Linked DNA regions of Stegostoma tigrinum. Each later gene encodes a partner of the first gene's protein in a complex. Links are inferred from orthologs where the notes say so. Each region holds a gene or a part of one and is shown on either strand. Other genes may lie near its edges.

What was found.
Region 2: exosome complex component RRP40-like (region 1) and exosc6 share a complex: the UniProt entries of both Homo sapiens proteins name them as parts of the RNA exosome core complex. The link is inferred for Stegostoma tigrinum from reciprocal best matches to the Homo sapiens genes EXOSC3 and EXOSC6.

The regions. Positions count from the first base shown.
Region 1 is NC_081354.1:15,914,564-15,925,134, forward strand, and holds the start of exosome complex component RRP40-like, read right to left. Parts: upstream 5,352-10,571; 5' UTR 5,290-5,351; coding exon 5,074-5,289; intron 3,316-5,073; coding exon 3,166-3,315; intron 1-3,165. UniProt on the Homo sapiens protein: Non-catalytic component of the RNA exosome complex which has 3'->5' exoribonuclease activity and participates in a multitude of cellular RNA processing and degradation events.
Region 2 is NC_081369.1:4,852,312-4,862,761, forward strand, and holds exosc6 (exosome complex component MTR3), read right to left. Parts: upstream 5,267-10,450; 5' UTR 5,196-5,266; coding exon 4,897-5,195; intron 3,321-4,896; coding exon 2,789-3,320; 3' UTR 1,622-2,788; downstream 1-1,621. Other genes in the region: aars1 (alanine--tRNA ligase, cytoplasmic), read right to left, coding at 8,421-8,606. UniProt on the Homo sapiens protein: Non-catalytic component of the RNA exosome complex which has 3'->5' exoribonuclease activity and participates in a multitude of cellular RNA processing and degradation events.

The DNA.
Region 1 (10,571 bases):
ATTCCATTGTCCAATGCCTGGTTAAGGGTCACTTCTGTTGTACTTGTTTTAATAACATTAGTGTACTGTATCTAAACACACTTGTACCTGGAATGAACCCATCCTGCAACTACTTGCACCCCAAGTCTCATGATTAAAATTAAATTTCATGATCCAACAAATGGACATTCATCAAGGATGACCAATTGTAAACCAGATGTATTTGAGTAAGACTCATGTATTGTGGGAATGTTGTTACACAGCTCGTGATATTTCCTACAAAAGATGATCTTTAGAGGGAGAAAGATGAAATTATCCAGAGTATCCCCTAAGTGTGCAAGTAATGGCATGAAAAGTTAACCGAAAGAAATTGCTGGAGACATGAGAAGATAAAACAGGACTAAATAGAGGGAAATTAAAAGTATCTTAAGGAAATAGTATTGTTTACCCAGGTGGTGGTCCTGGCTAAGAGCTGGAAAGCAGATAAAGCGCTTGGACTCAAGCACGCAGCATCATTGTGCTCCAGCGATGACAATATGATACAAATGTAGTGTGAACAACTACAGCAACAAATGCAGTTAGATATTTGACATAAGTGAGCAGCCTTTGCAGCATCTGCACAAAGGTAGGCCCTTGCGTGCTTTGCAGGATGACAGCACAAACTGGAGGTAGCCGAGGAACACAGTAATGTGCTGACACAAGAGAACAAGTAAAATAGAAGTTAGGAAACATGCATGATGCACCGCAAAGTAGCATGGCCTCCATTAGGAAGAAACCTGCACAATGTCGGGCAAGCAGCACGCTATAGTGAGTTTTGAGAAGATTTGTAGCTCGGGTTGAGGTTCTGGATGTGAGTTTGCTCGCTGAGCTGGAAGGTTAGTTTTCAGATGTTTCGTCACCATTCTAGATAACATCATCAGTGAGCATCCGATGAAGCGCTGGTGTTATGTCCCGCTTTCTATTTATCTGTTTAGCTTTCCTTGGGTTGGTGATGTCATTTCCTGTTCTTTTTCTCAGGGGATGTTAGATTGGCTCCAAATCAATGTGTTTGTTGATGGAGTTCCGGTTGGAATGCCATGCTTCTAGGAATTCTTGCACGAGAATTCCTAGAAGCATGGCATTCCAACCGGAACTCCATCAACAAACACACTGGCTCCAAATCAATCGACCATCCCCTGAGAAAAAGAACAGGAAATGACATCACCAACCCAAGGAAAGCTAAACAGATAAATAGAAAGCGGGACATAACACCAGCGCTTCGTCGGAGGCTCACTGAAAGTTAAATAGAGGTTCAGGTCGGTGACCCTTCCTCAGAAACCTGCTGAGCTTTTCCAGCAACTTTGTTTTTGTTCCTGATTTACAGCATCCACAGTTCTTTTAGTTCTTACATTCTATTTAAGGCAAATATATTCACATTGCCCAAGGGAGCTCTATTTAACTGATGTTACCTAGAATGGTGACGAAACGTCTGAAAACGAACCTTCCAGCTCAGCGAGCAAACTCACATCCAGCATGCTATAGTTGCTGCCGTCATAATTAGTGATTACAGCATTGCAACCCAACTTTGGTTGGACCAGAATAGCATTTGCAGTAGCCCCGCTCTAATCACACCACAATCTAGAATGACCAGAGAGGGTCAAAGGGATATCAGCATCAGATGTGATCCTTTGACTAAGTTGAAGCCCTTTTAAAACCCGCTGACTGCCCATTTCAATATTCAGAGGTGAGATTTTCCTGAAGAAATCTTACCCACATTTAATCAATCAGATATTAGGGCTGTTTTGTCAGCCTGAGCTTTTACAGTTAAGAGCAATTTACCTTTTCCTCCCTTTGCACTATACCTTCATCTTAAACTGGGAGAGTTAATAAACTGAGTTTGGGATGTGCTTTAAATTGATCAATAGAATTTATGTACAAATAGGCGGAGGCAAACCCCAGCTCATGCTGAGCATCTCTGCACTATTTATAAATTGGTTCAGGTATCACCAGAGAAATGTGGGAATGGAAGAAGCAATCTCTCAAATGTTGTTATAATAGGGCAGGTCACACATTAAGGGTGTATAGGCCACCAAGGAGGTAAGGAATTTGGAGCAGGGCGGGGAGTGGGAGAGATAGAATCCAATTTTATCTAATCAATACAGAATGGGGGGGGGGGGTGCACGCTCCAGAATTTTAAAATGCATAACCTGATTCTATTCATCGAGGTCTGAAGGAAGTTTTGGTGGAAACATTGTCCTTCATGGTGTAGGCAACGGTCACTGCACAAGTTCAGCAGCAAAACCAGAGATCATAACCTGTTTGTCCAGTTAACTCAATGTTGCATAGGGTCCCTCAGCACAAGAACACTGACTGACTAGCACAGGCCTCAGGAGGTGCTCTGAAGATCCCACAGCAAGGACGAGAGTGGTAGCCATTGCTTCACTGCCAGGAGGCCAAAAGCAATTAATGTCAATAGATACTGACTCTTCAGTGACCGAAGGTTTTGTGGTCAATAAACATGATTGTGCATGTCAGATATCAATGTCCGAATTAATGGCGAAAGACAGCTTAAAAGCAGCATCTTCTCAGATTCGAAACTTCTCTTGCTTATGGACATTAATAATTTCAACTTCAAGAAAGCTATTACAGCTTGAGAAATTCCACAAACCTGAAATTCTCAGGAGGCAAGGATATAACGGGTTTATCCAACTGAGGACTAACTTTTGAAACAACAAGGTCTGCATATATTAATAGGTATAAAATTGAATTGTTAGCACAAAATGTACCATTATTAGTTGGTCATATTTCTATATAGACATTACACGATGAATCTTGATTGCACCAACTCCTGTAACAGGGAAATGATTAGTGTAGACAAGTCAAATCTATGGCTCTGCATTCAGATGCCCAGATTTTGGCCTTTTTGCTATTGTATATCTGTATTTGGTAAAATTTATGTATACCCAAAATTGGTTAAAAATTCTAAAACATAAACTTTCCTAAAATTAGTGATAGTCATGATCCTGGTCACCTTGTTGCAGTTGGTAGGTCATCAGCCTTAGAAGGATTAAAACGATTAGAAATTTGATCATGCATCAAGCCAAACCATCAACACCTCTGATAGAGCTATCACAATTACACAGAATACTAAACTAATCTGCATCTTAAGCATTAGTTTAAGACTAAAACTTTACAAAAAATTCTTACTTGGACATTTGGTCGATTTCGCTTGGTAGCTCCTTCAAATGCTAAATATGATAACGAGGCTTGCTCACTTCCTCCAACATCAACTTTGAATATATCACCAGACTTCACAGTCACAATTCCTATCACGTATTCTCCTTTAGCTGGCACATACTGAAAAAATGCAAAAGGACACTTTTAAATTCTTCTCCGATGTAATTTACTCGGCATTAAATTCTGAGTTATAGTTACAAATTCTGGAAAAAAATGCAGCTGAATTTCTTAAACGCACTCCAAGCAGCAAATAAATAGGCAACAATGGAAATCTCTGCTTAAAATCACCAATTTGTTCAGTGTTCTCAGGGTATCAGGCACATTCTATTTAAAGAACAAAAACAAAGTTGCTGGGAAAGCACAGCAGGTCTGGCAGCATCTGTGGAGGAGAAAACAGAGTTAACGTTTCAGGTCGGTGACCCTTCCTCAGAAACCTGCTGAGCTTTTCCAGCAACTTTGTTTTTGTTCCTGATTTACAGCATCCACAGTTCTTTTGGTTCTTACATTCTATTTAAGGCAAATATATTCACATTGCCCAAGGGAGCTTTTGAACCACATCAGGCATCATAAAATCAAAAATTTACCAAGAATTTGAGTGAAAACAACAATTATTCAAATATAATGATGATCAGAGACAATGGAAACTGCAGGTGCTGGAGAATTCAAGATAACAAAGTGTGGTGCGGGATATTCGCAGCAGGCCAAGCAGCATCTTAGGAGCACAAAAGCTGATGTTTCAGGCCTAGATGAAAAGTCAGCTTTTGTGCTCCTAAGATGCTGCTTGGCCTGCTGTGTTCATCCAGCTCCATACTTTGTTATCTCAATTATTCAAATAGTTCTTCTGTGCAAATAAGTTGGCAAAGCTTCAGTTCTGCAGGAGGATTACTGGACCTGATACATTAAACATTGCTAAAGGAGACTAAAAGTTTCTCTTCACAGATGCTGCCAGACCTTGTTTTTCAAGCAATTTCTGTTTCTGTAAACTTCAGTAGCACTTCCCACATACTTCAACATATAAATCTGGGAAGTGACCAAACATCATCTCCTAACTTGCACAAATTTCTCAGTAATTTGATGTGGAGATTTGTATATCAGAATGAATTTTCATGTCTTAAACAATTTACTAACCAGAAAACAAACAGATGGGTTCAGGGTGGAATATAAAATAGCTGAATTTAATTTGGACTTCAATCAGTATGCACCTAATTGCACTTCCAGCACTGCTCAAAGGATAAGAAGTTGATTTTCTCTTCCTACACCATGGAATGGGTGATACATCTTAAGCACATTAGTTTGTAAAAGTGCCATGATTCATTAAAGAGCAACTCAAGTCTCACTGATGTATTTACTACACTGCTCCCTCCTCAATCCCTAGACCCAGTTCATCTCCCTCCACACCATAAAAACTAAGAGAAATGCGGATACTGTCGCTGTTGAAATGTTAACTCCGATTTCTCTGCACAGATGCTGCCAGACCCGCTGAGCTTTCACAGCACTTTTTGTTTTTGCTCCCTCCCCACCACGTCCTCCAGCACCACACCACCAGTTCCCACACCCCACAAACTCCAGTACCCAGTCCCTCCACACCTGTGACCACTGTACCCCCCTCCCCTCCAGCCCCCAACGTCCATACTCCTCAGGACTTCCACAACACCCCTCCCCCACCCGGGAAAAACGTAATCCCCTTTCCCCTACTGTCCCCAGCCCACAGCATCATACCGCCTGGACCTCCACTGCACCGGACTCATACTCCTCCAGGATCCCACAATCCACAGGGACCTCCAGCATCCCCTACACCGGGGCCCATTACACCCATCCTAGGCCTGACACCTCATTAGTGAGCGTTGTGGGGGAAGAGATCTGACCCGCCTCCCTCACCCGTTTCTGCTGCGACTCCACCCAGTAGACGGAGGGCTCCTTGTGCCGGAGCACGCCGGACTTGCAGGCCACCAGAGCATGTCCGGACAACTGCCCACAGCCCTGTCGCCTCAGGCCGGGCCCGCACAAGACCCTATCCCCGGAGTTGGGAGGGAAGGTAAGCACATCCCCAGGCAGCACCACCTGCGAGACGGCCCCAGCTGCGGGCCGTTCCATCCCTCCTCGGGGAAGACGTGACTGGGCCTGCCTTGCGTCGCGGCGCTACGTCGAACGTCAGTACGCAGACCCCGCCTTCTCACAACGTCGACGCACTGAAGTCATTCTATGACGTCAGCGCACCCCCGCACGATGTCACCATTGCGCCCGCCTCCTCGTGACGCCATCGTAGAGCCCCCTCCCAGGACAATAAACAACAATGTGCATTTGTATAGCCTCAGATCGAGGGTAGCGTCCTGAAGTCAATCCAGACTCGAGCCCGGCGATCAGGTAAATTTCAACACGGGAATAAAACAAAGATCTGCAGATGCTGGAATTCTCAAACGAAGACAGAAACTTCTGGAGAAACTCAGCAGGTCTGGCAGCAACTGTGGCGAGAGAAACAGATTGAAAGTTTTGAGCCCGAAGGGTCACTGAATTGAAACTTTTCACCTTGCGCTCATCCAAACAAGGATGCAAGAGACAGAGACAGCATCAGAATGGAAGAAATAGAAGCAGGAGTGGGCCATTCAGCCCTTTAAGGATTCATGACCAATCTGTCCCAGGCCTTGACTCTACTTGCGTTCTGGCTCCTCATAGTCGTCAACTCTCCAATATTGCAAAAATATACATTCTCATAAAATCATTGCATGGGCCTGATGGTATAAAATTCTCGGTCTCCATTTTACTGTGTCTTCTTGCAGCATTATGCTCAGAGAGAATTGTACTGCAGTTTACATCTGAATTGTGTTGCTTTATTCCCAGACACACAAGCGTTTGTGGTTGTAACGTGCAGATGCCAGATGCTGTAATAAATATCTATTGAATCCTTTGGTTCTCCACATCTTGTTCTTACGTTCATAAGTATCACTTCATCGAGTATGAATACCTTACTGAAGGTAAAAGGCCTGCAACTTAAGGAGATTGTGAAAGCAGAACACATCTGGGTTAATGTTGTTTATAAAGAAACTTCCGTCCTCCCAGATCACATGATTGGAACTTGACCAGAGCTGTCTTTTTCTGCAAAAATTATTCACAAAACGTTTACAAAGTAAATTTTTGTAACATTAAAATTATGGAAAGTGCAATAAAACTTTAACTTGCTTTATGCAACATGCTTGACTTATACTTACCTTGATCTATTCTTAACATTGCTAGAAGGAGATCAGAAACTTTTCATCTTGTACTTATCAGAAACAGGATTCAAATAACAGTTATGGCAAAAGAGACATCATATCCTTTTTTTCAAGTCTATTTCTTTCACCCTAGTTCCCATGAGTGCAAGAGAGTGTCAACTTTTAGTCTCCTTTAGCAATGTTTAAATTCTGTACTGCCAACTATTTACAACTATTAAGCGCTTAGCATTTACAATGTACCTTCCAAGACAAGCACGCAACCCAAGGGCAAATAATTTTAAATTTAAAATTCCAGAAAGTGTATTTGAATTAAATTTTGCACAGTGTTTTCCACTCTGAGGCATTTCTTACAATCTGAATTCTCTTGATATTAATAATGTACATTTTGGTATCAGGTGCACAGTGCAAGAAGTTCTACATAGTTTCCAGCCCCAAGATGTGCTTTGGATGAAAGGCCTTAAGGAGCTTGTCTGGTACTAGGAGCTTATGACTTTCAGGGAAAGACCGACCATCACCATTGTAACTCCGTCAACCTGAACCATCTCAGCAGCTCAAATTAATCCCAGAAACCTGTGGTCTGCAAAATCAAATAGCAACAAAGCAGTACAGTAACAGAGATAGTAGGAACTGCAGAATCTGGAGAATCTGAGAGAACAAGGTGTAGAGCTGGATGAACACAGCAGGACAAGCAGCAACAGAGGAGCAGGAAGGTTGACGTTTTGGGCCTAGACCCCGAACCGTCAGCCTTCCTGCCCCTCTGGTGCTGCTTTGCTTGCTGTATTCATCCAGCTCTACACCTTGTTAGCACAGTAACAATTAGGTTTATACATTATGGATCAACTTATAAAACAGTAGTACATTTTATGAAAATTAAAATCTCTAATGCATTTGGTAAATAATCAATGATCTCATGTATGTTTCAACCAAGCTCTCTGTTTTTCCAAGGCATAGAATACGCAGTGAATCCTGCAGATGCATTGCATCAGCCTCTCTCCAATGTAATGTACACACACTCACAACTAAGCCCCATCTCATTGACTCACTCAACAGTCTCTCTGCTCAAAACTGCACTCTCCTACTCTTTCACTCAATAGCCCCTATTCCTTCCTCATTTGTGGTTTAGCTGCTGGAGCGTGAGAGGCAGAGTCACTATCCTTTACAGGAGGTAGACAGGAGCATGAGCACAGTCAGGTTTGAAACTGCCATGCACCATTTCAGCTTAGCCACATGTCTTGCTGGTTGTTACCAACCCCCCACCCCCAACCTCCAGTAGTGGCTCAGTTATAATTGCCAACCTATAGCTATGCCAGGTTCGCGCACAAACATCCTGAACAGGTTTGAGCTTGCCAATAAAAGTACATTGGGCTTGCTGGCTCCCCCAGTGTTGTTATGTGGAATTAATCCACTGACACAGAGCTGTCCTGGTAGAGGTTCAGACTGACCCATTGCAACTCACAACCTCGAATTTGACCTCTCAGACATACTGGGATGTTTGGGGGTGGGGGGTGGTGCGGGGGGAGGTGATCGGGGTTGGTGGGAGGACTGAAAATCTGTTTTTAGGAATTTCCTAAAGGAAATAAGCAAAGTGAAATAATGTAGATGGGCGGATCAGTGGCAAATGCAATTTAATCTTGGAAAGTATGAAGTGATGGTTTTTGGGAAGATGAACAAGACAAGGGAGTACAAGGTTCAACAGTCAGACCCTTGGGGATACTGAGGATAACAGGGAGGTTGGAGGCATTATTTATGGGATGAGGGCATCGCTGGCTAAGCCAGTATTTATTACTGTTGGCCTGGAGTCACATGTAGGCCAGACAAGGTAAGGATGGCATCAGTGATAATCAGATGCTGGAGAATCCAAGATAATAAAATGTGAGGCTGGATGAACACAGCAGGCCCAGCAGCATCTCAGGAGCACAAAAGCTGACGTTTCGGGCCTAGGCCCTTCATCAGAGAGGGGGATGGGGTGAGGGTTCTGGAATAAATAGGGAGAGAGGGGGAGGCGGACCGAAGATGGAGAGAAAAGCAGATAGGTGGAGAGGAAAGCATAGGTGGGGAGGCAGGGAGGGGATAGGTCAGTCCAGGGAAGACGGACAGGTCAAGGAGGTGGGATGAGGTTAGTAGGTAGGAGATGGAGGTGCGCTTGAGGTGGGAGGAAGGGATGGGTGAGAGGAAGAACAGGTTAGGGAGGCAGAGACAGGCTGGGCTGGTTTTGGGATGCAGTTGGGGGAGGGGATGAGCTGGGCTGGTTGTGTGATGCAGAGGGGGAGAGGACGAACTGGGCTGGTTTTGGGATGCGATGGGGGAAGGGGAGATTCTGAAGCTGTTGAAGTCCACATTGATACCATTGGGCTGCAGGGTTCCCAAGCGGAATATGAGTTGCTGTTCCTGCAACCTTCGGGTGGCATCATTGTGGCACTGCAGGAGGCCCATGATGGACATGTCATCTCAAGAATGGGAGGGGGAGTGGAAATGGTTCGTGACTGGGAGGTGCAGTTGTTTATTGCGAAACGAGCAGAGGTGTTCCACCCAAGACCACCGACACTTCCGCCATCTACAATCCGACCCCCCCACCCAAGACATTTTTCCATCCCAACCCTTGTCTGCTTTCCGGAGAGACCACTTTCTCTGTGACTCCCTTGTTCGCTCCACACTGCCCTCCAACCCCACCACACCGGGCAACATCCCCTGCAACCGCAGGAAATGCTACACTTGCCCCCACACCTCCTCCCTCACCCCTATCCCAGTCCCGAAGATGACTTACCATATTAAGCAGATGTTCACCTGCACATCTGCCAATGTGGTATACTGTATCCATTGTACCTGGTGTGGCTTCCTCTACAATGGGGAAACCAAGCGGAGGCTTGAGGACCGCTTTGCAGAACACCTCCGCTCGGTTCGCAATAAACAACTGCACCTCCCAGTCGCGAACCATTTCCACTCCCCCTCCCATTCTTTAGATGACATGTCCATCATGGGCCTCCTGCAGTGCCACAATGATGCCACCCGAAGGTTGCAGGAACAGCAACTCATATTCCGCTTGGGAACCCTGCAGCCCAATGGTATCAATGTGGACTCCACCAGCTTCAAAATCTCCCCTTCCCCCACCGCATCCCAAAACCAGCCCAGTTTGTCCCCTCCCCCCAGTGCATCACACAACCAGCCCAGCTCTTACTCTCCACCCACTGCATCCCAAAACCAGTCCAGCCTGTCTCTGCTTCCCTAACCTGTTCTTCCTCTCACCCATCCCTTCCTCCCACCCCAAGCCGCACCTCCATCTCCGACCTACTAACCTCATCCCACCTCCTTGACCTGTCTGTCTTCCCCGGACTGACCTATCCCCTCCCTACCTCCCCACCTATACTCTCCTCTCCACCTATCTGCTTTTCTCTCCATCTTCGGTCCGCCTCCCCCTCTCTCCCTATTTATTCCAGAACCCTCATCCCATCCCCCTCTCTGATGAAGGGCCTAGGCCCGAAACGTCAGCTTTTGTGCTCCTGAGATGCTGCTGGGCCTGCTGTGTTCATCCAGCCTCACATTTTATTATCCAGGTAAGAATGGCAGTTTGCTTCCCTAAAGGACATTGACCACTGTTCTTTTTGAGTGTCCTTGATTCTTCTTCAGTTGTCTGGGGCCCAAGGTCGGAAATGCTCTCCCTGTACCTCCTCTGCTCCGAGACCATAGAACCATCCAGTTTTTACATCACTCAAAAAGGCCCTTCAGCTTCCTTTGTACTTGCTGCTCATCAAACATCTATCTATTCAAGTCCCATTTTACAGCACTTGGCCCTTATACTATTGTGTTTGAAGTGCTCATCTAACTGGTTCTTCTTTGTCTTGAGAGTTTCCGCCTCTAACATTCTTTTATGCGATGACATTCAGGTACCCATAAATCTCTCAAATATCCTCTAAGCCTCACACTGCTTACCTGAAAACCATGGTCTTGGTTATTGACCTATCTACTAAGGGGAAAACCTTTTTCTTATCTACCCTATCTATGCTCTTCGTAACTTTGTACAACTCAATCAGGCTCCCCCCTCAGTCTTATCTGCTGTAAGGAAAAATATCCCAGCCTATCTAATCCCTCTTCATAGGTCAATCACTCCAGCCCAGGAAACATCCTGGCAAATCATTTCTGCACCCTCTCTCGTGCATTCACATCTTTCCT
Region 2 (10,450 bases), on another chromosome or scaffold:
ACATTGATTTGGAGCCCATCTACCATCCCCTGAGAAAAAGAACAGGAAATGACATCACCAATGCAGGAAATGACATCACCAACCCAAGGAAACCTAAACAGATAAATAGAAAGCGGGACATAACACCAGCGCTTCGTCGGAGGCTCACTGATGATGTTACCTAGAATGGTGACGAAACGTCTGAAAACTAACCTTCCAGCTCAGCAAGCAAACTCACATCCAGAATCTCAACCTGAGCTACAAATCTTCTCAAAACTCGCTATCCTTGAAAGTTGCCACCCAGGTTGACAGGGCTGTTAAGAAGGCATACAGATTTAGCTTTTATTAATAGAGGGATCGAGTTCTGGAACCAAGAGGTTCTGCTGCAACTGTACAAAACTCTGGTGCGGCTGCACTTGGAGTATTGCGTACAGTTCTGGTCACCGCATTATAAGAAGGATGTGGAAGCTTTGGAAAGGGTGCAGAGGAGATTTACTAGGATGTTGCCTGGTATGGAGGGAAGATCTTACGAGGAAAGGCCGAGGGACTTGAGGCTGTTTTCATTGGAGAGAAGAAGGTTGAGAGGCCCAGAGCATCAGCTTTCCGGCTCCTCTGAAGCTGCTTGGCCTGTTGTGTTCATCCAGCTCGATACTTTGTTATCTAGGTAAGGATAACCGTTTCCTTCCCTAAAAGACATTAGTGAACCTGATGGGTTTTTCCAACAATTGATAATTGATTCATGGTCATCATTAGACTCTTAATTCCAGATATTTATTGAATTTGCTGTGGCGGGATTCAAACCCAGGTTCCAAGAACATTATCTGGGTCTCTGGATTAACAGTCCAGTGATAATACCACTAGGCCATCACCATCATGTGGCTGATGAATCAGTGTTCCTCCATGTCGAATGCCACTTTGAGGGGTAAGGGGACAGAATATACTCTGGGTGGAGCAATTCAAAGCCCATCACAAACTGGCAAAATGGTTTGACTGGCTGTGCAGCAGATGATGAGGGAACAACAAGAGGGAATACACTTGTTTAAATAAATTATTTATCAGGCCGATTATCCAGACCTCTGTCATTGGTAAGATTTTACAATCCGTTATTAAGGATGAGATTGCAGGGTACTTGAAACAGCAGATAAAATACGGCAGCGTCAGCATGCCTTGGTCAAGGGGAGATCACAAATCTGTCAGAATTCTTTGATGCAACGATGATCAAGCTCAACAAAGGACGTATTCATCACAGCAGTGTATCTTTGGATGTGATCGATTTGAGTTTCCTGAAGGCCTTTGACAACGTATTGTGCAAGAGGCTGCAATTTAAGATAAGAGCCCAGGGTGTTAGGGGCAAGGTACTGGCGTGGATAGAGGATCGGCTGACTAGCAGAAGGCAGAGAGCGGGTATAAAGGAATCTTTTTCGGCTGTTTGGAATGTAAGTATGTACAACTAGCTGATGTTACAAGGGATCCTAATGGCAACAATAAAAAAACACATCATTTTATTATTTACCCCAGGAGCGTTGAGCAAACTTTGATTCCCCAGGATTCTGCCTGATGCTGCACAATGTCAATCAGCACTTAAAGTCAGTGAGACATTTCTTCCAAATTACAACTCAGCATGTGTAGAAAAATGACAGAATGGTCAAGAACTTTGATTTTATTTGTTAAAAAAATATAGTAAACAGACAAATTAGTGAATGAATAGACTGGATGGAAATTTCCCACCCTGAACTCTCATAACCAAGAGTGTCCAGGTCTAGCACATTACAAAGTTGGGAGAGGAACAAAGAGTTGAGCCCGTTAATCTGCCTTGTACTGTGCTTCCGCAGTTGGGTGACGTATTCATCACAGCAGTGTATCACCCAGCAGAACTCAAATATTGGGCAGTTTTCTCTTGAAGGCTGATAGCCACTGACCACCAATTTGAGACTATCCCCAAGCTCATTTAACACAATGGCCTTACAGCCGCTTTATCAGGCTGGGATCTAATTCGAAGCAAAAGCCTCAGACGACACTTAATGTAAATTCTCTGTACCGAGTGCCTTGTCGCTACCCACAATAGAAGAAAGAGGTCTACATGGGACCAATTGGAGAACATGGAGTATGAAGGAGATCATACCAAACTCAAAATTAAACTCTGCTTCTCTCTCTCCACAGATGCTGCTAGACCAGTTGAGATCCTCCAATGTTGTGTTTGTATCAGTTGGAGAAGATATGTATAAACCAAATAAACTGCTTGTTTTAATAACTCACAAGGTCTGGAAAGGATAAATACTTGATTGATCCCAGACAGACTGCACTGTGTAATCCTTAGGCCCTCAGAGTTGAAATCTGCTCAGTGAGGAAGTACTGAAATAAATACTGTGGCAGGGCAAAAAATAAGCAGCGAGGGCAAAGTCCCATACCACTTTAGCTTGAATTGCATTTATTCTCTCTACTTCACCCAGAGATCAAGTTTTACTGCAGCACAACTCCACCCAGACTGCTCAAGACCAGACAGCAGGGAATTGAGGCCCAGCGTCCCACACATCCAACAGGAGAGACTGGACAATCAGCTCCAGGAACCCTGGCCCAATTATACCTTCCTGCACTGAAGCTGAACTTCAGCAGCACCACAGATCAGGCAACTCAGCATAGACAGAGCTGAACCTCACACTTCAATCCAATACCGTGTGGTGGTTCAATTTTAGTTAAATGTTAACAAAGGATATTCTGCAACTTGTATAAAATGTAGTAAATGGAACAGTAAAAAAACATTTATTTTTCAAGAAAGCATTTACTGGAATGTCCAAGAACAAAAGTTCATCTAATCTTTACTGACAAGCTGTGGGATTTTCCTCTTGACTGATTTGGTCAGACACTGTTGGACTACAGAGTAGAGCTTCTGACATCCCTCAATACAAGCCTTGATTGCTTCTACTGATGTCTGCTCCTCCCACTCTCCTTTCGAGACCAGCCCGGAGATTTGATTGAGTGTGGGCAGCAGAGCCACAGTCAAGCTGCCATTGTTTACGGCCTGCGAGCAGGCTGCACTGTACTCCTCAGCTGCTGTTGGATCCAGAAGGGAGACAGCTCCACACTGCCTCAAAGAGCAGCCCACCACCACGTCAAACATCTCGATGCCTGCTTCTGCCAGTGCTATGGAAGCACAAGTCAGCGCAGCTGCTAAGGTGGAGCCATCATTCTCCAGAACCATCACGTACACTTCGATCTGGGACCTGGGGTACTTGTGGAGGCAGATAGCTGGCTGCAAGCTCTGTTCCATGATCAAAGAATACTCCTTCTCCAAGGTGCCCTGAATCCAGGCAGCTCTCTTCCTGCAAGAGAATGGGGCAAATCTACAAGGGTGGGGGGGGGGGGCGTGGTAGGGAAGAAAAACAATCCTATGAATTCATTCACGTGATATTTCAAAAGAGGAATAGGTTAGCACAGTTGGTTAAATGTCGGTGAGGTGGTTCAGAGAAATGTCCAACAGCGCAGGTTCAATTTCTGTTCCATCTGAGGTAGGTTTGGGATTGACTTTGTCGTCCTAAACCTGAGAATGAAAGTCAGCAGCAAAGAGTGACAAAAACTGCCAAGTAAATGGCTCAGGTTGGAGTATCAGCTACAAACCAAGGATCACAGGGAATGGAATGTTAATAAATTAAAATTGAGGCTATCCAGACTACAAAAGTGTGGCCAATTCTTAACTGCCCTCTGAATGGTCAGGCAATCCACCGTTTTACGAGCAATTAGGGATGGGCAACTAATTCTTACCTTGCCAGTGACACCCACTGTCTAGGGATAATGGGAACTGCAGATGCTGGAGAATTCCAAGATAATAAAATGTGAGGCTGGATGAACACAGCAGGCCAAGCAGCATCTCAGGAGCACAAAAGCTGACGTTTCGGGCCTAGACCCTTCATCAGAGAGGGGGATGGAGAGAGGGAACTGGAATAAATAGGGAGAGAGGGGGAGGCGGACCGAAGATGGAGAGTAAAGAAGATAGGTGGAGAGAGTGTAGGTGGGGAGGTAGGGAGGGGATAGGTCAGTCCAGGGAAGACGGACAGGTCAAGGAGGTGGGATGAGGTTAGTAGGTAGCTGCGGGTGCGGCTTGGGGTGGGAGGAAGGGATGGGTGAGAGGAAGAACCGGTTTGGGAGGCAGAGACAGGTTGGACTGGTTTTGGGATGCAGTGGGTGGGGGGGAAGAGCTGGGCTGGTTGTGTGGTGCAGTGGGGGGAGGGGACGAACTGGGTTGGTTTAGGGATGCAGTAGGGGAAGGGGAGATTTTGAAGCTGGTGAAGTCCACATTGATACCATTGGGCTGCAGGGTTCCCAGGCGGAATATGAGTTGCTGTTCCTGCAACCTTCGGGTGGCATCAGTGTGGCAGTGCAGGAGGCCCATGATGGACATGTCATCTAAAGAATGGGAGGGGGAGTGGAAATGGTTTGCAACTGGGAGGTGCAGTTGTTTGTTGCGAGCTGAGCGGAGGTAGGCACCCACTGTCTACATTGCCATTCCACCTTTGTTCACTCCAGCCCAACGCCAGCAGCTCCACCAGGAATCGGAGCTGGGTTGAGGACCAGGTTCATTATTTGTGAGCTGCTGTGATCTGGAATGCGCTGTGCTTCTTCTGTTGACGATCAACACATTTCCCCACCATCCTTCCAGCTTCAAGTCACAGGATCAGCCTGTGTTTCCACAATTCACTTCACTAAATCCAGCAGCCAGGGATAGGACTGGGAACCCTCCCCTCTCCCCAGTCAGAGCTGACCTGACACACACTGATAACCTACACGCCCACCTTTCCAAAATCACAGGAGACTTTACTCCGAGCACCAGGGGTCTCTACATCATCTCCGCTTGCCCTTGGTTTCACGGGGGGTTGGTGTTGGTGCTTTAAGACCCTTCCCGCCCCCGGCCCCGGCCCCTACCTGAACTCGCAGCCCAGGGTCGCCCCGCTCAGGCGCCGCTCCTCCTTCCTGTCGCTCTCCCGGGGCCCGTAAACGGCGCACAGCACCTTGGTGAGGCCGCACTCGACGTACACCGAGCCGTCCGCCTGACTCACCAGGCCGGCCCGAGCAAACACCGGCCTCGGCTCAGCCGCCGACCGCCCATCAGCCCGAACCCGGGCCCGCCCCGGCACCGTGCTCGGAGCCGCATCTCCCGCCACAAACAGCAGCGGCGACTGCGACTCCTCCGGGCCCCGGACTCGCTTGGTGTCGACCGGCATCTGGTACCGACTCGCTCCAAGCTCCGGAGCCTCGACCAGGCCGCGCACAACGAGGCAGCGCCCGTCGTAAGATGCTCCCACCTACTGCCCTCCCCCAACACCGCCCCCTGCAGTCCGGGAGGACCATCCGCAGGCCCTCATGCTCCATACCACCCCCTACCGGCTTTCAGCAAAGTGTGCAAGTTCTCTTCCAGATTGCAATGATTTGGTTTGAGTCGTCTGTGCGTGCAGGTCGCATCGAAAAACATGGGTTCTGTAGCCAAATTTATCAATATTCCACCACCAGGGGGGAAAAAACCAATGCAGCAGTGTGTGACAAGCAGAGCCTTGCTAGGGGAGTAATTTGATTTATTATTGCCACATGTACCAAGCTGTAATCCTGAGATTTGAACGCAATTTAACACTGGCCCTTCAGAGCTATTTGTTCTTTAAGGTGGCAGTAGGAAACGCAGAAGCAAGAGTCGGGGCATGTTGCCCAAAGTCCCGGTCAATATGAATCGCTGAAAAAGATTAGCTGGTTATTAAACATGGGGACATAGGGAGAACACGCAAAGTGCATACAGGCAGTCACCCAAGGCTGGAATCGAACCGATGGCTCTGCTGCTGTGAGCCAGAAATGCTAACCACTGTGCGACCCTGTAGTTATCTGGTTACTAATCTCACTTGGGCTCGACGGCTGGTTTGTGATAGAGCGATACCAACAGTGTGGATTCAATCCTATGCTGGTTGAGGTTACAACAAAGGACCCCTTCTCAACCATTCTACACACCTCAGGCATGGTGACCCTCAAGCTTAAAACACCAACAATTGAGCAATCCTATGGCCTGGTAGGACTATGGCAACTTTACCTTTAACCTGTACTGTATACAATGGTGTCTCCTTTGGGATGCACCCTTTCTTCATTTACATGTAATTTTTTATTGGCATCATCCTCGAGTATGAGTGATGAGGAGGAAGAGGGTCCAAGATTCTCTCTTTTCCACCACCTTGGTGCTGTCAAATGGCCTGCCAATCTAAGGTCATGTACAACTCAGGAATTTTTCCCAACGTTGGAAGAGTGATGTCCTCTTTTAGTTCTTGCTGAACGTTAAGTAACATTTGCCACGGATTCCATTTATCGCCTCCAGTTTGAGAATAATTTCAGCATTGTTCTTGATCTAGAGTTGAGCTTCAATCCCCTTCGATAACAAGGTCCTTGATTTCACATCCACAACATTGTCCGTTTCTGTTCCAACTTTCTCATCATAAATCCTCAACAATTTGTTCCTCGTACCCCAATATCTGGAAATCAAATTCCTGTTCTTATCCACAAATAATTCCCTGGATTTACTCAAACCAACATCGGCAATTGCTTCCCACCTTTGCCTCCCATTCAGAGAATTTCCTCCCGTTGTCTAATTAAAAGATGAAGCTACTGAGGGACAACTTGTTAATATAAATACATGCAGAAAAATTATTTCCTATCGCAAAATGTCTAGAACCAGCAGGGATAAGCTTACCATCTGTTCTTGGGGAGTCCTCCATCAATTTGTGAAGCACCAAAGGACACCACCAAGATTTTATGTATTTTTTTTCAAAAGCAGGTTTTTGGAATATTCCTGTCCACTTCAAAGAGTTGTCTGCTCAGGCTCACACTGGGAGCATTAAAATTTCATCTTCCCAGTGTCTTGTTTATTTCACCGGTCTGTGGCATCCTGAAGGTTTCAGTAACCCTCCTCTCCATTTACTATTATATCCAATATTGGGTGAAACATCAGAATCAAGGTTGACTGTCCTGTGGCCCCAACACCTCAAATTCTGAAGCCTTGCCCTCCAGCCCAATTTCACCATCCACAAGTTAGCCTGTCTCACCTCTCTGTTCTACTAAATGTAATACAGATTACCACTATTGAGGTCTTATTCTTTAATCTCCTAACTCCAGGATATCTTTGATAGGACCTCAACTTTTGTCTACATTATTGGTTCCAACATGACCCACAACATCAGAGTGTTGCCACTGCTGTGTTGCTGGTCATAGCAATGACAGAACATTGGAACAGTTAGAAACAGTAAAGAGTGAACTGGATATTAACTGAATGACTATCATGTGTTGGAATTCAAAACTTTGTCTAATGAACCACTGGAATCGTTTATATTAAAACGCTACTGTCACGTTTTGCTTGCTTGGGGTTAAATCCACTGGACGGAAATACTGGGAGATGTGTAAGACAAAATAGTTCATAAAATGGTACCACTTATGTATGACTTCAATGTTAGACAACAGAAATCATTTCTGCAGAAGTAAATCTGAAAATAACACAAAAAATGCTGCAAGTACTGAGCAAATCAAGTAGAAAGTCAAAGGAATGATGATCATCTGCTGTGTGTGATGTGAAACATTAATAGTTTCTCTCTCCACGTGTTTTGTAAACTGCTGCATATTTCCATTATTCTGATTTTATAGTGGTTAGACCCCTGTAGACCAGTCTGACCAGGTTTGAAGGAAGAACTCATCAATGAAGTGAAAATCAACTTCCAACAGGGACAGTGTGAATCTTTGGGGTTTTTTTATATTTGAAGGAGAGTTAGTGACTAAAGTTGAAAATGGGTGGGATTTACAATAAGTGTTCGTATTTATGTTCACACATAACGTTGAATAAATCAACTTCTAATTGGTGATCAGAGATAATGGGAATTGGTTGTGTTTCACCAGGATGTGAATCAATCGACAGCTAAGGAGATTACAGAAGTCCAAGAGTCAAAAACATGATTGCAATGTCTCGTTCACGTAATGAAGAGGTTTTATTGTTTACACTGTCTTGAACAATGGTTACATATGACTAGGTAATGACAGCATCATCATGAGGCAGCGAACAAGAGACAATTGATCTGAATCTGAAAATAAATAGCATACTCCAAATCTGTAACCAGTACAACACCAGTATTATTTTAAGCTTACGGGTGCAAATCCTTTTAATGAATTAGAGCCGTTTTAAATAGGCTAACAGATTTTCTTACAGCCAGTCCCTTATTGCAACAGTTTGAAGATTTTAGAGATGATCGATTGCTAAGCTGTTCTACTGACTTAGTGAGACAGAAGTTCACGCTTTTAACATTAACATGGAGGAGAATGTGACAACCCCCTCCCTCACCACCTCTCAGCAGTAGTGGTCCTAAACCCCTGCAGCAGAAGAGTCCCGGCCCCATGGACGGTCTTTCAAGTGACATTAACTGCAACGTTTGTGATTAGTTTTTGAGGTCTCCTATTTTCAGCTCAGCGAACTCGGTTGCCAGCTTTAGCGCCTTGTCAAGGCTGTTGACGTTTTTCCCAGTGGCCTGGGCTGACACGTCCTTTCCTCCTCCTCTTCCGTCCAGCAGGTCCAAGATATGGTTGACCCAGTCACTGGCTTTCAGGCCCCTGCTCACCACCTCCTGAAAAAGGTTTGTAATGAAAAAGGGAGAAATAGTGCAAAATGAAAATTCAGTAACCCTGCTGCTTTTAAGATGGGCTTTCCACAACGTACAATGTTCGGACTTTGAGGCGATGCCTCCCCCACTGGCCTGACTGTAAAAGTGGCACAGTGAGGGACTGAGACTTATACATCACAGGTTCAATACCTGATATGCTGCAGATGTCATAACAGCCAGTGAATGGCACAGCAAGACTGAAAGGCCTACACCAATTCCTAAGTCCTATATTACCAGGGTCTCAGGAAACACGTAGCTGGGATGCAACAACTGAAATCAGCTCCTTATGATCAACAAAGGTTAAACTCTGTCTTTGACGGCTGATCATTGGTCCCTGTTGGGTCACGTACAGAGAACGGGTGCAGGGCAGATGATGACCAGACTGGGCTTGAATGTTACAAACCTCATGGTGGATCAGTCTACTGAAACTCACTGAAGGATGAGGAGTAACTCCTGCGATGAAGTATCAAGGGGCACAGAATCATTACTGCCACAGCCTTCAAGTGGAGATTAACAATATTGTCAAACAATGAATCGTTGCTCTCAAACACCCAGACACTGAGCCAAGTTCATCTCATTCCTCCAGTCCTGGCCTCCCTATCGTTGGTCACTTCCATCACTGGCAGTCATGCCTTCATCTGCTGTAACATTGCAATGCTTGCCCTAAACCTCTCTGCGTTTCTCTTCTTAACACTGACGTCCTCAATTATTAAACGTTCAAAGGCTGAGGGAAGAATAAAAGAAGAATAAAAAAAGAGAAAAATAAACTACTAGGGAAAACAATGTGATGGAAGCCAATAAATCCTTTGGGTTGTACCTTAAGATGTGAGGGAAGTAATCAGAGATAGTAGATGCCTTGGTAGTAATCTAATAACAATCTTTATTCTGGAAAAGTCCCAGAGGATTGGAAAGTGACACCATTGTTTAAAAAGGGAGATGAGAAAAAAGTAACTTTAAGAAAGTTAGAATAGTGTCTCTAACCAGGAAAATGTTAGAATCTATCAAGTAGAGTCAGCAGGGCAACTGCTGGCAACTCTATTAGAATTCTGTGAAGAGGTTAACAAGTAGGGTAGTTAAAGGGGAACCAGTAAATGTAATATGTTTAGGTTTCCAAAAGGCACTCAATAATGAGCGTCACACAGAGCTGCTTGATCAGGGCTCATGGGGTTGTGGGTAGTGTAATAGCATTGATACATGACTGGCTAACTCACAGAAGACAAACAGCTGTAATTAAGGGGACAATTTTGAGATGTTAACTTGTAACTAGTGGACTGCCAAAGGTTTCACTGCTGGGGCCACAATTATTTACAATTATATTTTAATGACTTGGATGACAGAATAGAATGTACTATTACCCAAGTTTGCAGACGACAAAAATAGATGGGAAAGCAAATACTGAGGATAATACATGAGTTTACAGAAAATATAGACAGATTAAGTGAGTGGGCAAAAAATTTTTCAGATGGAATATAATGAGAAACGCAAGGTTATGCACACTGGAACAAACTGAATATTACTAAAACGGAGAAAGACTGCAGAAAGGTACATTGCAAAGGGATTTGAGGATTCTTGTGTTATAAGCCACAAAAGCTAGCATCCAAGTTTGGAACGAAATAGGGAAAGCAAATAGAGTGCTGACCCATAGGTCAAGAGGAATGAAGTATAAAAGGAAACTGTGAGCAGTTTTGGTCCCCTCATCCAAGGAAAGACAGACTGACATTGGAGGCAGTCCAAAGATGATTCACTAGGCTGACATTAGGTATATGAGGAGAGGCTGAGTAGTTTGGGTTTGTACTCATTGGAGTTTA